2 linked regions of the Drosophila melanogaster genome follow. The protein of the gene in region 1 interacts with the protein of each later gene in a pairwise test. Each region holds a gene or a part of one and is shown on either strand. Other genes may lie near its edges.

Region 1 (7,169 bases):
GCCATGAAGGTGCTGGTGGACGCCATCCGCTCGGAGACGCCGCGTCCCAAGAGTCCTGGCATGAACAACGAGGAGCCGATTGAACTGTCTCACTATCCGGCCGCCAAGAAGCCGCCGCCAGGTGAGCAGCCCAAGATCGAGCGGGATGACTTTCCCGCTCCGCCGTATCCCTACACGGATCCGGAGCGTAGGCGGCGATACAGTGATACCTACAAGGGAGTGCCCGCCTCCGATGATGAGGACGAGAATGTGGAGAATGGCAAGCCGAATGGCAAGGTCAAGAATGGCGAGGAGCAGCAGTGAGTATTGGAATCTCTTGTGCATGCTATGATCCTAGATCCTATTAAATCTCTTCCCAAAAATACAGACGCCTTCAACGCGAAGCCGAACAGCTGGAAAAGCTTAACTCGGGCATCGGATCGGCGATTGCCAAGGACCTCAAGGAGCACGCCAAGTACAGGAAGTGGAAGCAGAACAATTTGGATCCGCGCAACGCATCCAGGACGCCCTCCGCTTCCAAGGAGCCACTCTACAAATTGAGGTAAGATATTGATCGTTATAAGAAAATTGAAAAATGATGATAATGAAAATTGATCGTTATAAGAAAATTGAAAAATGTATCTTCTAGTTCGTGCTCGGTGTATTTTGCACTTGAAGAAATCTATTATTATTTGTTTTAAAAATAGAACGATAAGATAGCAAAACATATGGTTATAGTATATAGTATAGTGTAGTAATACTAATCCTATGACATCTTGATTACACAGATACGAATCGCCCATTGGAGCATCGCCATCGCGCAATCTGGACCACCAGAAGCCCTTCTACGAGGACGAGATGTTCGATCGCTCCACCAGCTACCGTGGCTCGCTTGGCAAATCGCTTGGAAACGCGCCCAGCTACAATGGTAATCCTCTAGAGAGCATTGTCCTAGTTTCGATTTTCAGGCAAATAGCGATTCGATACCGATATTATATATTAGCCCACTTACGTTTATAGCCATACATTCCTACCGATCGCCGCCCAAGCCCGGATACGGATTCAAAACGACGACTCTGCCCTATATACGCAATGGCTTCAGCTCCGTAAGTGCTGCCTGTTGCTCAGATCGGCATAGATCGCATCAGATCCGATCCGATCCGATCAGATCAGATTATATCCTTGGTGCCGGGCTGTCGGTTATGTAGCTTATAGCTTACCCACTACCACACGAACCTATCCGCTTATATGTAATCCCAAAATAGTTACGACGGTATTTGTTTCTTGTTTCTCTCACTTTCCAATGCCGCCACTGGTTTGCTCACCTGGATGAACTAACAACTGTTTCGCATATGTCTCAACTGGTTGGTCTGCTGCTTCATTGCGTGTCTGAAAACCCAATCCCACCCATCCACCCATCCTGCGCCACTCCTAACAACTATGTGTTTGCTATTGTTGCCCTGACACCTGACAACAAATAACTCAAAAAACTAACACCCATCCACACTTGACCAACTAAAACTCGAACATTTGCATCATGAACATATCAACATCACTTGAACACCATCAACATGTACATCTACATCCACATCTGCTCAGTGGTGAGTGCGCTGCGCCATGTGCCCAAGCCAGGATACGGGCTAGCACCACGCTCCCACACATTCAGCTCCACCACATCCGCTGCGGCCACGATGCATGGTGCCACTGTAAGACCGCTTTCGTTGTTGCTATGCCGTAGAGTCCTTTGAGTCCCCGTCTTGTGTTTGGATGCCCGTTGGTATCACCTGTAACTTGCACTGGTTTTTCGTTTATTATTGTTGCATGTGTCCCTCAATTTGATCAGAAAACTAATCCCATGCCCTTTTCGAAAACAGGACTTCTCCTATGGAGGACTGGGCGACAAGACCCACAGCACAGATTTGAGCTGCGGCAAATCGGAGGGTAAGTGAAATATATTTTGAAAACCCGGCTCGGCGAAAGAATAACATAATTCTCCTCTGGCAGCTTCTGTGGACTCGATCACCGAGGGCGATAGGCGAGCTCTGATGGGCGGCGACCTGCCCGCCTCGAGCACTTACTCAGGAGCACTCTCCTACCACTATCCGCAGGCCGGACTCATCCGGCGCAGTCTGCCCAACATGTCCCATTCGATAATTAGTTGCGCTAACGCAAAATTGTAACTGAGAACAACTATATGAAAGGAACATAAAATCCCAATAAAAAACGAAGTGTATACAGACAGATGATATATGAAATTAGTTAAACATTGCATGTCCCCGGCATGTAGGCTTTTTATACGCAGTGCTATGGCAATTTAAACGCAAACATAAACTGGACTCTTTTTCCAAATTACACCTTAATTCAACCATGTAACGGGCTACAGAACCGAGAAATGCATCAAAGAATAAGAAATTAATGTACCTACAGCAGAATCACACAGCAAAATGCGAAACATTAGATGTGTGGCATCAAATTTACGCTAAATCATTACGCAAATTTTATTTATTACTAAATATTTTATTTATTTATTTAAATAGAATATGTCAAAGAATAAACCAGAGATAATAAAACAGGACAAAAGCAGTGTCAACGTGTTTACAATTATTAAAACTTCGAGTGTGGAGATTATAAAGTTTCTTCTTAATCCTAGACGGAATTTACTCTTTGTCGAGCCGACAACGGCTAAAGTCTGTCGACATGCAGGAATGTTTGTGGAGTATTAGCTTACTATATATTGGCTAAACTGGCTTTAAACATTGTCGAATCGATAAAGAAACGCCATCAAGGGCATAATTCGGTGTGATTTGAGTTCGGGACGCAATATGTGACTGGAATGTAAAGTTCACAGAATAAATACGTAAATATTAAATAAGATTCCACAGAATCCATTTATCTATCATCTATATTGCACCATTGGTAACGCACTAGTTTTGCTTGTGCAAAGCTGCTCCGTCGGTACGTAACCCATAGGTCAGCTGGGTTTTCATCACTGCCAAACTGCTGCCAATGATCTTTTTGTGGTAGATCTGCCGCGTAACGAACCCAAAATCATCATAAAAGTCGCGCTCACTTTCCTGCCACTCGGAGATAGTGCACTCCAGTGAGGCGTACCCGCCGATAATGCAGTTCTTGACCACCAGTTTTATCATGGGGTCCATGATCGTCTGACACGGGTAATGGGGATCGATGGCAAAGCGATAGATCCATGCAGCATTGTATACGGCGTGGTGATTCTTCACACTAATAGCGGCCACAATCCTGCGCCGGAATTTCCTCGTGTATGTTTCCTCGTATGGACAGTTCTCGGTAAATATCTGGTAGCTAGCTTCCTTCGGTGAGCAGCGGAAAATGAAGGGTTCATAGCACTCGGCCACCAAAGACTGCGATGGTTTGGTCTGGAAAGTAAACGTTCTTAGTTTGAGATACTTTGCTGCCGATGCTTTAACACTTACCCTCATCAACTCCACTGCCTTGGAGTAAAACGAGAAGTAGGTGCCGGTAAATAGGCAAAATATGCAAGCGGGCACAGTGAGTGCACAAAAAAGCAGGGGCACTCCCAGAAATATGAAGAATATGGCCCACGTGATGACTATGAACTGCAGGGTGATCTGAAAAAAGTTGAAATCCAAATAGTTCATAGAGTTTGGGGATCTAGATAAAGATGTCTCACCTCTCGAAAGCAATAGACAAAAAAGGACTTATTCGAGAACGACATGATGTAGTCCCGCACCAGCTCCTGGCACTTGAGCTCATCATCTTGCGTGTAGTTGCGAATGACAATAAATGGCTGCATTAATGTGTTATTAAATTATTAGATAAGCCGAACCAAAAAAAAATAAAAACACCGATCAATCAGTGTGTCCAAAGCGATGCAAAATCCACTACTTCTTATGGCAAAACAGCTGTTGCTGCGGTGTTGCCACTCGAGACAGATATCGGCAAAGAGAACTCAAGACTGATAGCGTGAGAATAACTATCGCAAGAAGTTTATTTATTAGATATAATATTTTACAATGTTTGAAAATTAGTCTTCAACTCTTATTTTTTAAATGTACACCTGTTTGAATAACTATTTTAATTTATCGTTTGTTCCATTTATTTAAAAGAATCGCTTTCGTGAGCTTGCCGTGAGCTAGCCCAATCACGGTGCCATCTCTCATGCCAAACACTCTGACTTTGATCTGGCACTTTTTCTCATGACGTGTCGGCGAGCTTAACTTTATTAAAGAACTACTCGAAAAAGTCACTGCAAATAGCCGAAAATGCGCGACCAATTCATCAGCCTGGCCCTGATTCTGTGCGTCCTGCACAGCGCCTGCGGCTTGTACTTCCACATATCGGAGACGGAGCGCAAGTGCTTCATCGAGGAGGTTCCCGACGAGACAACTGTGATTGGTGAGCCAGAGCCTAGTGCCAACTTGGAAGTTTTACCAATCGACTAACTTGTCCTCCTGCAGTTAACTACAAGGTAGAGCTGTATGATCCGCGCTCTAATGGATTCATGCCCTCGTCGCCCGGAATCGGCATGCATGTGGAAGTACGCGACAGCGACGACAAGATTGTGCTGTCCCGCGTGTACAGCTCACAGGGCCGCATCTCGTTCACCTCGCACACTCCTGGCGAGCACGTCATCTGCATGTTCTCGAACAGCACCGCGTGGTTCAGTGGTGCCCAGCTGCGTGTTCACCTGGACATCCAGGTGGGAGAGCACGCTATCGACTACGCCCATGTGGCGCAGAAGGAGAAACTGACTGAGCTGCAGCTGCGCATCCGCCAGCTACTTGACCAGGTGGAGCAGATCACCAAGGAGCAGAACTACCAGCGATACCGCGAGGAGCGGTTCCGTCACACCAGCGAGAGCACCAACTCCCGCGTGCTCTGGTGGTCGCTGGCCCAGACCGTCGTCTTGGTTTGCATGGGCTTCTGGCAGATGCGTCATCTCAAGAGCTTCTTTGAGGCCAAGAAACTGGTGTGAGGTGCTCCGGGGCTAGGGCATCATCAGCACCACTGGCCAACCACTGGCCTCATTGTTCCGTGTGTTTCCCTCATTTGGCAGGAATTGCGAATTTCATCGATGGATCGTCATCCACCCAACCAGCCACTGGCCTCGACTCCAAGCACTTCTAGTTGTAATTTCTTGTGCGTAATTTAATAAAATCCATTGTACAAAACGAGACCGAGACTGTGTGCACCCCCACATCCTATCTTCGCTGGGTCAGACTGCCAGTCAGCTGAGCCGAGTCCCGTGACTATGTTTGCCTCACCAAGCGTGGCTTGTTCTTATCAGTAGGCTGTGACAGATAACCTGTGTCGTTGGCGTTAACTCCCTAGTTTTAAGACCGCGGTCCATCGTAACTGCATCGAGCAGCATCGTGTCGTGACTGCCCTTTATCTCATTGTTTGTTCTGTCGGAGAAGAGACTTTTTAGTAGCTCTTGGACCGCCCCGAGCAGCGGTCGTCAGTCGCGGCACAAATCCGACGTCCAAAACAATACAGCTTGTTGTGGCACACCAAACGCGAACGCTTACGACCCACAAAAGCCGCAGCTCTGTAACCCGATCCAGTCTGAAGCGCTTTCAAGTCAACAACTGGCCTAGGTCTCTGCTCCCTCTCCGGTTCAGTTGGTCTACGTCGGATTAGGCGTGCAGGCTGTTGAAAATGTTTCGCGCTACGGAAATCGGCAGCGAAGAAAGTGAGTCTGCAGCTAGATAAGATAAGACAAGAAGCGCAGGTAATCCTCTCTCTCCCTATTACATGTAGCCCTGCCAGCTCTGGCGGAGCTCAGCCAGGTGGGTTATGAACGCGATGCACGGGACGTGGAGTGGGTCGCCTGGAGAGGAGAACGGGCCCAATTGAAGCTGGCGCATCGCAGCTCCCTGCCCAATTATGGATTTGCTCCACCGACCATCCGCATGAAGTATAGGTATCCACGAGCCGTCTTCTTCGTTCTGGCCACAAAATTTTTTGAGGCCTTTGCTGCCAACGGCATTCGCAGTAAGTTTCCAGATTTCCATCCAAAAGCAGATAATCGATTTTTGGTCAGGTCAAAGGCATTCGTCGGCAAAGTCTGGTTGAAAAATTCCGAAACCAGGCTTATCAGCGGCACAGAAATATAAACACAAGGAGGTCTTATTGACAGTCAAAAGACCTGTGATGGTGCATAATATAAGAGGCATAGATAAGATGAAAATTTAGGTTGCAATTGGCAAATAATGGGCAGGAACAAGACCTAGCATTTAGTTACTTAAAAAGAAAATCTTCAAAAATAAGATAACTGACTCAAGATTATTATTATTGTTAATTAAAACTCCTGGAATTTTCCCATTGATGTGAATCTTAAAAAGAACATCCATCATTAAAGAGATGGCTTAACGAATTTCCAATTAAGTCTCAATGCTACAACCTTTATTTCATGGTCAATAATTCGAGATTGACTGCAGCCTGACCCACGATTACGATGTATACTCGATTCCAGCCGTACTCGCACTCTATCTGCGCGACGATCTCAACTTCACGGAGAGCTTTTCCACGGTGGTGCTGCACATCTTCAACTTTTTTGGCCAGTTCTGTCCGATCATTGGGGCGATCCTAGCGGATAGCTACATCGGCAATGTGCGCACGATATCCGGCTTCAGTTTTATCTACGCCTTTGGATGGTTACTCCTCACACTGACATCCCTGCCTGCCATGGGTCTTCCGATGGTGTAAGTACTCGCAACGGATTAGGATGAAGGATTTAGCTTATTCCACTTGCGACTCGTAGCTTGCTGGTGTCCATCGCTCTGCTGTTTATCGCCGTTGGCAATGGATCGATACGAGCCTGCATCACCTCGCTGGGCGCACTGCAGTTCAAGCTGCCGGAGCAGAGCGTCCATCTGGCCGAGTACTTCTCCTTCTACTATTTCGTCTACTATTTTGGAATATTCCTGAGCAAGATCCTTCCGCCGCTGGTTAGAGCTAACACGCAGTGCTTTGACAAGGCGGAATGCTATCCAGCCGTATTCGGCACCCTTGGCGCAGCCTTTATGATGGCCTGGTGTAAGTAACTATCAGTTTTCATAGCTTATTTCTATTTAATTTACGCATGCTTGTGGTATTAGTTATCTTTCTGGTTGGAAAATGGTTCTACAAGTCCGAAAAGCTGTCCGATGACAACATACTCTTCAAGTTCTGCGGCTGCATAAAGACCG
Region 2 (9,284 bases), on another chromosome or scaffold:
TCGAAGCTCATTGGTCGTCATGGCGCTGTGATTAACAAGCTGCGTGCCGATCACGACGTCATCATTTCGCTGCCTAAGCGGGATGAACCCAATGACCGCATCATCTCTATCACCGGCTACCAGGCCAATGCGGAGGCAGCCCGCGATGCCATCCTAGAGATTGTTGGCGACCCCGAGACACTTCATCGCGAGGTTATCGAGATCGATAAACGCATCCACCCCCACCTCATTGGCCAACGCCGACGCACCATTCGCAAGATCATCGAGGATAATAAGGTATGTTTCCCTGAAAATTTAATTCAAGATATTGCTTTAATGGATTTAATTTCTGTATTAACCAATAAACCATTAATGCCATCAGGTGAACATCAAGTTCTCAGCTGATGATGACAACCCCAATTCGATCTTCATCAGTGGCAAGATAGAGGACGTTGAGAACGTCAAGGAGTTGCTCTTCGGCATGGCTGAGGACTACGAGCGTGACTACTTGGATAACGTGGCGATAGCGCCGCCAACGATTGGTGCCTTCCTAACTGGTCAGGGTTCTGGATCCGATGCCGCAGGTGCCAGCGAGAACGGATTCGTCATCAAAGACGCACCGTGGGAGAAGCAAAAGCAGGCCAAAAACCTGACTGCGCCCAACACTCAGTCGCAGGAGGACTTCCCGCACTTCGCTGCTGGCGGGGCTCCGGTGGCCTCCACGCCTATCACCTCCGTGTGGGGCCCCAAAAACTAAGTGCATCGGGCCGAGTGTCCCGATCGCCAGCAGTAGCAGCAATACTACAAGTCGGGGTGCGCCGGGGATCGGAGCTGGAGATGGACCAGGAGCTGGAGCAGAAGCTGGAACTGGAACTTGAATTGGATTATCGGGCAATGAGCGGCAGAGCAGCGGCAGTCGTGCGGACATCTCTTTAGTCGAAAACTAGTGTCAAAAATAATGGTATAGGTTGTCTCCCAGGAGCTTTTCTACAACGCAATTTGTGCAGGTTAATAGAAAACGACTATTTTTGTATGATTTGATACAGGATCAATCAAACACACAAAAACCCACACTCACACACAACGGCACATACACATGCTCACACATATGAAATTGCATTTATACAACATATAGAATACGAGAATCGAAACAGACAATTGACCACGCCTTCAGTTCCGTTCCCCGATGTGTTGGCCAAACCCCGGCCACTTTATATATAAAAAACACTTAATTGCCAATTTCTTTTTATATAACCATTCTTCATTGCAACACATAATATTCTAATTAGTTGAAGCTCCCTAAAAGTAAGCAGAAAGTTCAGCAAAATGGTTTGTTAATTGAATTAAAACTGACTAGCGAAGCACGTTCAAGAACGAATGTAATTTTAAGCATAAAATGTTAATTATTTACATTTACCTTCTATCTACCCCCCGTTTTGATTACACCATACTCAATTTTCGTATTCGGAATTTCCATTTAAACCCTTCCCAATTAAGTGATGATTATTATGATTTATGCGAAAGTAAATGTTAAATGAACGTTGATTGTATTGTACAAACGTTTCTTACGTTGCGGGGCGAGAGTGGAAGTGGAGATGGCGATTTATTTGAACAGCAAATATAAACCTTACCTAAATTTAATAACTATATTACCCGCACGCCTGCTCCTACTCCTACTCCCTAATCCTCTAGCGTTCTACCATACACACAGCCATGATACAGAACCCGAAAAACACACACACACACACACCGACTCTGTTCACATTTCAAAATGAGTATCGACATTTTAATTTTGTGCAATCCCCTTGATTTATATTAAATTGTTTTCGACTTATATTTTCCACTTAAATAATTTTCTTTGCGCCGCGGTGTAAATTGTCAAAAGCAAGTAAAAGATTTGGAACTCTTCCAGTACTTTGTACGAGTATCGGGTGATGGTTTTTCAGTTTTCTCAACTCTACACCGCGCAATATCTGACAGTTGAAACACAAAGTATAAGAAAAATTATTAATTTTTTACTATTACTATTCAATAAAAACAAAAAACCATATAAAACCAATAAAAATCGTAAACGAATTTTTTGCTTTTTTTTTGCAACATTTTTATTTTGTTTCACGTTTGTTTAGTATTTCGATTGCTTCTGTTAAAAAAAAATATGATAACACCAAGAATAACAGACCTGATATTGTAAATTTTTAAAAATATACATACATATTTACAACAACTGCATTAGTAATTCTAAGAACGTAAAAATACAAACTATATCAAATGTATATATTTTCCTATATTAACGGACAAAATCAAATGTAAGAGTCGACGGCCAAATGGCAATTGCTGTCTGCAAAACAAAATATTTTCATTAACAATTCGATTTCTAACTATAATTTTCAACCCAGATATAGCAGATACAACCGTATGTCTTATTTCTTTTGAAATACAAAAGTTTTAAACCGAAACTTTTCTGTTTGAATAAAGGCGCGATCTGGCAGCTCTAGGTAGTGGTGTCACAGCGTCGATAACTAACTTAGTTTCTCACCGAGCTGCAACAAGTTTAATTACAATCGATAACGAAGATTGGAGCTTTTAGTGAGTAAAATTTGACCCATTTCTGTTGTTTGAACGTTTATTACGCATTACGTATTTACTTAAGCGATTTTGTGAATTTTTTGTGTGTAGTTATGTGCACGAGAGATGGAATTTTTGACCGAAAGCTGCTATCGATAGTGACATTCCTTCGATTTATTTTAGCAACCATCGATAGCTAAGCAAGCGAAACAAAAAATTATTTTCAACTTGAAAGTTTTGCGACAAGTGCGTGCAGTTGGCATCGAAATAGTTAACAAAATTGCCGCAGACTTCCGGAGACAACGCCGTAATGGAGGACCGTAAGTGTGTGGCATACGGACGCAGTGCATCATTGCAATTCCAATGCAGCGGCACATGTTTCCGTGGGCTCTTGTGACCTGGGCGATTGGGACACCTAAGACCTTTCGGGTAATTCGGGTATCATTACTATTGTAGGACTCTGATTCAGCAGCGGCTTTGCCAAAAGTTTTGGGGGACTTAGAATACACAATGAGTTAACCTTGGTGCGCTGGGAATCAGCAGATGAGTCATGGTTCCGATTTGCGTAGGGTGAAAGGCTTTCCAACTATTCGGATTACCGTGGAAGTTCTGCGACATGCCATCGATGGCAATCCGTTTGGTGGGCGGGGGTCAGGTTCTTTGTGGTGTAAGTATTGCATTCTCGGTTTCCGACGTCCATGCATACGTGGCTTTTAGAAGCGCAACATCCGCAGGGCGGCTATGATATGCATATCATCTGAAAACGCCTCCTCCCACTGAGCTTATCACCATGGTGCCACTATAATTGTTCGGAGCTCTGTTCCCCCACCGAAACCACTTAGTAATTGGCTTCCACTTGTTGACTTCTCGATGGGATTGGGCCTGCCACAACAACAGGCACTTCTGAGCAGCAAGAACTCGCAGCAAACCAGAACTAGCTCACATATATATATATATATATATATAGTGTAGATATAGGGTCCATCAATGTGGCACAGTGGCTTTGTGCTCATACAGTGCTTGATGGTCGGAGGAAGCTGGGAAAAATCGGAAAAATCCAAACTGGTAATTGCTATTTAGCAAGAAGCTAAATTATGAATTATTTTCCTTTTTTTGTTTGGCTCCAACAAAGCGATACAGTTATGTACAGTACGTTTTTGCAAAGAAAAACTTTATTTATAGTTATATTTAAAGTTCCTTATCATAGGGTTTTTCAATTTTTAAAGTTGTTCATCTCCTCACAATTGTTTACTTAATAAATTTAAAAGGTACAATTAAAGAAGAATATTATTCAATTAATAAATTGAAGTCTCGGTTTATCAAAGCTTTTTGACTGATAAAATAATCATTTTAGCTGCAATTAAATTAGACACATATATGTATATCTAGTGTCTTATCAAAGCGTACTTATTATTTATGCAAATATTATTAGCTTTATAACTTTCCCATGCTTATTAATTTATAAATTAAATGAAGTGTAAAGTTGGTTACTATAGAGCTAATGTATTTACGTAGCTGTAACTTTTAGTCAAGCTCTACTGTAGTCTTGCTGGTTGCTACTGCTGCTGCTGCCTGTTGCTGCCCCTTTTGTTTAGCGCTCTTCTTGTGGCATTTCTCGTCTTCGTGCTGACACGAATCATCAACAAGCGGAGCCAAGCGGCCAACCAATCCACATCTACCAATTTCTAAGCCGAGATCGAGTCAGTTGGCATTTGGCTGTAGACGAGCGTGGATGGAGCAGGCCCAGAATCGAAAGCGAAAACGAAACTGAAATCGAAACAGAAACAGAAGAACCACCACAAACCAGCTGCGATCGCATGGGGAGAGGAATTTATGTGGAACGCGGCGGGCCAAGAACTGAAAGCTCAGCAAAGAACGATCGAAGTGGCTGAAAGCAGGGCCAAGAAAAATGTGCTCGCTGCTGACCGTGGAAACGTGATATGTGCTTAGGATTGGGCCAAGACAATATGAGCCTCCTGCGCCAGCAGCTGCCACGTTCAAAATAGAAAGTTGCTGCCAAAGATGAAAGAGAGCGCCGCTATTGCCACAGAATGAGCGAATCGGAACCGAATAGCCTGGAGTTCATTGAAGACCCCTATCTGCCAAGCATTGATGATCTCACCAGCACACCGTCACTGGATCTGGAAACCAATGATGCCGTCTTGGACTGGTATGGCGATGGGCAGGAGGAGAGCGAGGCTGAGCTATATTTGCGTAATCTGACGCTAGACCAGATATTCTACGATGTGGATTCGGACTACACCAACAGCCTGGAATTGCAGGCAGTGGAGGCGGACTTCATTGCCGCCAAGTTGGCCAATCAAGCGCCATCGTCTTCGATGGCCAAACGCTTCCGCTTGAAGTTCTTTGCCAAGCGAACCATGCGCGACGTTAAGGTCACGTTCATAGACTTCTCCAAACCGTATCTGGCCAAAATATCAAACAGTGATAACTACAAGAGATTCCTCAACATTGGGCATAGAAGTAGAGGTACCAAATTCGGTCAGTGGGGAGGGGGGTTGGTGGGCTTAGGTCGGGTCTTTGTTCTGTGGCATTCGCTTTTCCACTTTCAACCATGACTAACCAGACTAACTTCTCTGTTTCTTTCTCCTTTGCCTGCCTTTCGCCTCGTCAGTTTGTGAGTATTAACAAAAACCCAGATCTAACCAATTAACCAACTCATGTCTTTGCAAATTGTACATACTCGTATATACAACTAAATTCGGTGTATTCAGCCTATGACAAAGTCTTTGAGGAAGTTGCTTTCAAAGGAGGTACTTAAACACTACCCGCCGACAACATTGAAATTAAGCTACAGTCCCCACACAGCACCCCAAGTTTTAATGTTCCCTTGGATTGGCATATATTTAATGGCTTTTTATTTCATGTTCAGATAATACAGCCAACCTGTCGGAGCCAGCATCTCCAGCTAATTCTGTGGCATCCGCAGAAATTGCCGCCGAGTTCGCTGCGCTTTCCGTCGAGGAGAAGGAGCAGCGTCGGGCTGAGTGGAGTCAGGTAAGGAAGTTTTCAGTTTTACGATCATAATTTGATTACTCAGCTCGAACGCTAACTTCTACTTCAATTTCCAGGAGCTCGCCCGCGTTGAGGAAGAGATCAATACGCTGCGAACTGTCCTAGCCTCCAAGACGCGCCATGCCTCCGATCTCAAGCGCAAGCTGGGCATCACCGTCTGGAAGGAGGTGACGGACGACGTGAACCAGGGCCTTAAGAACCTCAAGGAGAGCACTGTGTAAGTCTATGAACCGTTCGCAGTTCTGCTGGGCAATTAACCCGACTAGACAGTTTTAATTTCTAACCATGCTTTTTGTTTCAAACTCCTGTTGAAACGCTATAACGTGTATTTATTTAGTTACCAATCGGTGGAGCAGAGCGTGGGCACGTTTACTAAAACGGTGTACGAGGCACCACTGTAAGTAATTGGGTTCAGGCTGATTTTTAATTGGGTACTTTTGGAGTTACCGGACTAACGCCGTGTTTCACGCCACTTCCTTTAACACAATAACCAACTCTCGCCTGTTTGTAACTAAAGCGCACCTATGTTTGCCCACTTTGTGTATGGAGGAAAACTATCGAGATGAGTAACTAATGTTGGATTTATTTGTACTCTCCCCTAGATACCAACGCACTGAGTCGGTGCTAAAGTCCACGGGCGAGAAGACCGCCTCGGTGTTTGGCAGCATCACCAGTGGCATTTCGTCGAAACTGTCGCAAATGAAAAACTCCGAATCGATGCGTTCTATCGAGGCTTCGGTGGGCTCTGCCTACGAGAACGTTAAAGTAAGCTATGAACACAACAATTTTATGTGCCAATCTCATGCGGTAACTACTATTTTATTATATATCTGTCTTTACACATCTCTCATACTGTTGCGATTCTGTTTTGGTTCCCGTCTAACTAACTAGCCACTAACTAACCAACTAACTAACACTAACCACACATCTTTCACACTTGCTCACCCACTATAAACGCACTCTGAATTGGGATACTTCGGTTGATTTGCTTGCTTACACAACGAACTACTCCTTGCGCAAATGCTACTGCACCTCTACTACAATCTGTTCGGTTTTCTGTTCTATTGTAGACCAAGGTGACATCCCGCTCGGGTTCGGTGTCCAGTTTCCCAGATGCCCTGGACGAGAATAACACATCCTCGGGTCTGAATTCACCCACAGACTCACTCCCGAAATAGATTTCGGGGCAACTGCAAGGCCAAGCGCGTCGATAATGTGGAGCAACCTATACTACATACAAACAGACCCACGCACCCACTCTATTAACTTATTTAACTAAAGCGAATTGTCGTGTCTGCGCACTAACAACAGGATCAGAATTAATTTAACCAGAAATCATATGTACACCTGTGTCGATACGGTTTATATAATACTTAATATAACTAAAATCTGCGCGTCAAAAATTTGCCAATGGGAGCACATATTATATGCATCTATTTGTATTTGCCTTGGAGACACCATCAAATTGCATGACTTGTTTAAATTTAAAGCCACGGAGGATCGAAGATCCAAGGGCTTGCTGCATTCGTTTATATAACTATCAATCTAAGTGTACGTTTAAAGACTAAACCACATTGGATGGTCCACCCGATGTCATTCCCAAATGTTTCTAATACTTAGTAAAAACATTAGAAAATCATGCATTGCGGTTAAAGTGAATATACATTTGTTTTACGCTTTTATTTCTTCTCTAGGCGTTGAGTTCCGTGGTTAGATGGCGTTCCCTAATCCGTTGAAAAGCCAATTCCAAATTTATTTAGTACTAAATATTTGTGTTACGATCAGAGCTTGCGTGCAAATAACGAAAATCCATTGGTAAACTTAAGTGGATGTAGTCCGTACTGCTGAAGATTGAGAAAGAGACGAAATCGCACCCAATTTGTTGCTAATGCTGATCAAATTTGCTATATGTGTATGAAATCTTTGAATAAATGCAAAAATTTTTGCCCCATAAAAATAGCGATGTCTTTTTGATAAATGATGTTTGGGAGTATATGTGTGATTACCTTTTCAAACTTAAACTACAGCTAATGAATTAAAAAAAGTTAATTTCCAATTTCATCTGTCAGCTTTAAATATCCCGCCAAAAATTATAATAAAGTTGACAACTCTGATTTAACCCAGGGATCAACGTAAAACAGCTGTTTGCTTTGACGAGGTGGCAACGCCATAGAGGGTTCTTGCATACTTCTCAATTTTTTCTTCAGGCCACAAGAAAATCTTTAGATATGAGGAATTTTAAATGAAAACAGCGAGCAAACAGAACGCATCGTGATGCCGGAAACCTAATCAACCACTCCGAAGTAAAGTGCAATTAAATTACATAGTTTTATACAACTGAAAGCGGCTGGCCAGCCGCATAAAGTATTCGCCTACACCAGCATTGTTCTAAATGCTAAAAAGTTTATTACTCATTAAGCATTTGTGTGCCTAGTTAGTTAATTAATCGCAGCCGAAAGATGAACTTGACGTACTTGTTCGTGCTTATTTGGCTGGCCTTCCTCATCAGCAGCGGCGTGATGCTCTTCTCGCGGGGATTCCTATTGGCCCGGGTGTCCAAAACGGAGACGAGCACCTGTCGCAGGTTGTCCACAAATCCCAATGCTGTAAGTACTAGGTAATGAACGAAATGGGATGCATTTCAAATCCTTTGTCCTCAAACAGGAGTACGTACTCACCGATGAGGTTGTGAACGAAATCTTTAAGGATGTCAACGCCTCCTCCAATCTGTGTCTTCCGCAAAAGTCGAAGGTTATTGTCCTGGTTGTGGATGCACTTAAATATGAATTTGGCCTGTACAGGGCGAATGCTACGGATCCTTTGCCATATGAAAACAAATTGGTGGTGCTCCAGGAGCTGCTGCAGCAGAATCCTGACCACGCCCGCCTAATGAGATTCCGAGCGGATCCGCCAACCACAACGTTACAGCGCCTGAAAGGACTCACCACCGGCAGCCTTCCCACATTCATAGACATTGGCTCCAATTTTGCCTCACCGGAGATCAACGAGGATAATATCATTGATCAAATAGTCAAGAACGATCTACCAGTTGTCTTCCTGGGGGATAGCACCTGGACGGATCTGTATCCTCATCGCTTCAAACGATCGTACTCCTATCCCAGTTTCGATATATTCGATTTGGATAGCGTGGATAATGAGATATTAAAACACCTGCCCAAGGAGCTGGAAAGTAAGGATTGGCAAGTGCTGGTAGCCCATTTTCTCGGCGTCGACCACTGCGGACACAAACACGGACCCATGCACGAGGAAATGGCGCGCAAATTGGGCGAGATGAACGAGGTGATAAGGTAGGCGGCATCACATTTATTGGTAACCGCATATCATCATGTCCATCATTCATTTAGATCCGTGGTGGCGGCCATGGACAACGACACCACGCTGCTGGTGATGGGCGACCATGGAATGACGGCTTCCGGCGATCATGGGGGAGACACCGATGACGAAACCAACGCTCTGCTGTTTGCCTACTCCAAGCAGCACAGATTTTATGGCAATGATTCGGGCTCAGATAGCGAAATGCTGCAGCAGGTGAGATAAGACAACGTTTAATCACGGCGCGTCACGTCACAGTGATAAGCAACGATATTTGCTTTCCAGATTGATCTGGTACCCACGCTGGCCACCATTCTCGGCGTCCCAATACCGTACTCCAATCTAGGCCTGGTCAACTTCAACATTGTACC

What was found. Proteins that work in one complex are often made in the same cells at the same time.
Region 2: the proteins of eca (region 1) and CG5174 interact in a two-hybrid assay, tested with the Drosophila melanogaster proteins (one large-scale study listed by BioGRID).

What each region holds. Positions count from the first base shown.
Region 1 is NT_033777.3:9,682,452-9,689,620, reverse strand, and holds eca (eclair), read left to right. Parts: upstream 1-4,144; 5' UTR 4,145-4,241; coding exon 4,242-4,374; intron 4,375-4,436; coding exon 4,437-4,954; 3' UTR 4,955-5,152; downstream 5,153-7,169. Other genes in the region: Unc-115b (uncoordinated 115b), read left to right, coding at 1-299, 368-541, 768-907, 1,000-1,085, 1,854-1,920, 1,984-2,159; CG18542 (uncharacterized protein), read right to left, coding at 2,904-3,374, 3,432-3,587, 3,650-3,772; CG9444 (uncharacterized protein), read left to right, coding at 5,638-5,671, 5,740-5,973, 6,455-6,683, 6,743-7,017, 7,080-7,169. UniProt on the Drosophila melanogaster protein: Eca and bai are essential, though not redundant, for dorsoventral patterning of the embryo. Specifically required during early embryogenesis for the activity of maternal tkv, while the zygotic tkv is not affected. Involved in Golgi organization.
Region 2 is NT_033778.4:18,418,690-18,427,973, forward strand, and holds CG5174 (uncharacterized protein), read left to right. Parts: upstream 1-4,242; 5' UTR 4,243-4,595; coding exon 4,596-5,046; intron 5,047-5,179; coding exon of another isoform or gene 5,180-5,182; intron 5,183-5,279; coding exon of another isoform or gene 5,280-5,318; intron 5,319-5,437; coding exon 5,438-5,562; intron 5,563-5,636; coding exon 5,637-5,797; intron 5,798-5,917; coding exon 5,918-5,977; intron 5,978-6,182; coding exon 6,183-6,387; intron 6,388-6,650; coding exon 6,651-6,758; 3' UTR 6,759-7,274; coding exon of another isoform or gene 7,275-7,316; 3' UTR 7,317-7,532; downstream 7,533-9,284. Other genes in the region: Dp1 (Dodeca-satellite-binding protein 1), read left to right, coding at 1-276, 362-736; PIG-O (phosphatidylinositol glycan anchor biosynthesis class O), read left to right, coding at 8,040-8,186, 8,245-8,888, 8,946-9,129, 9,199-9,284.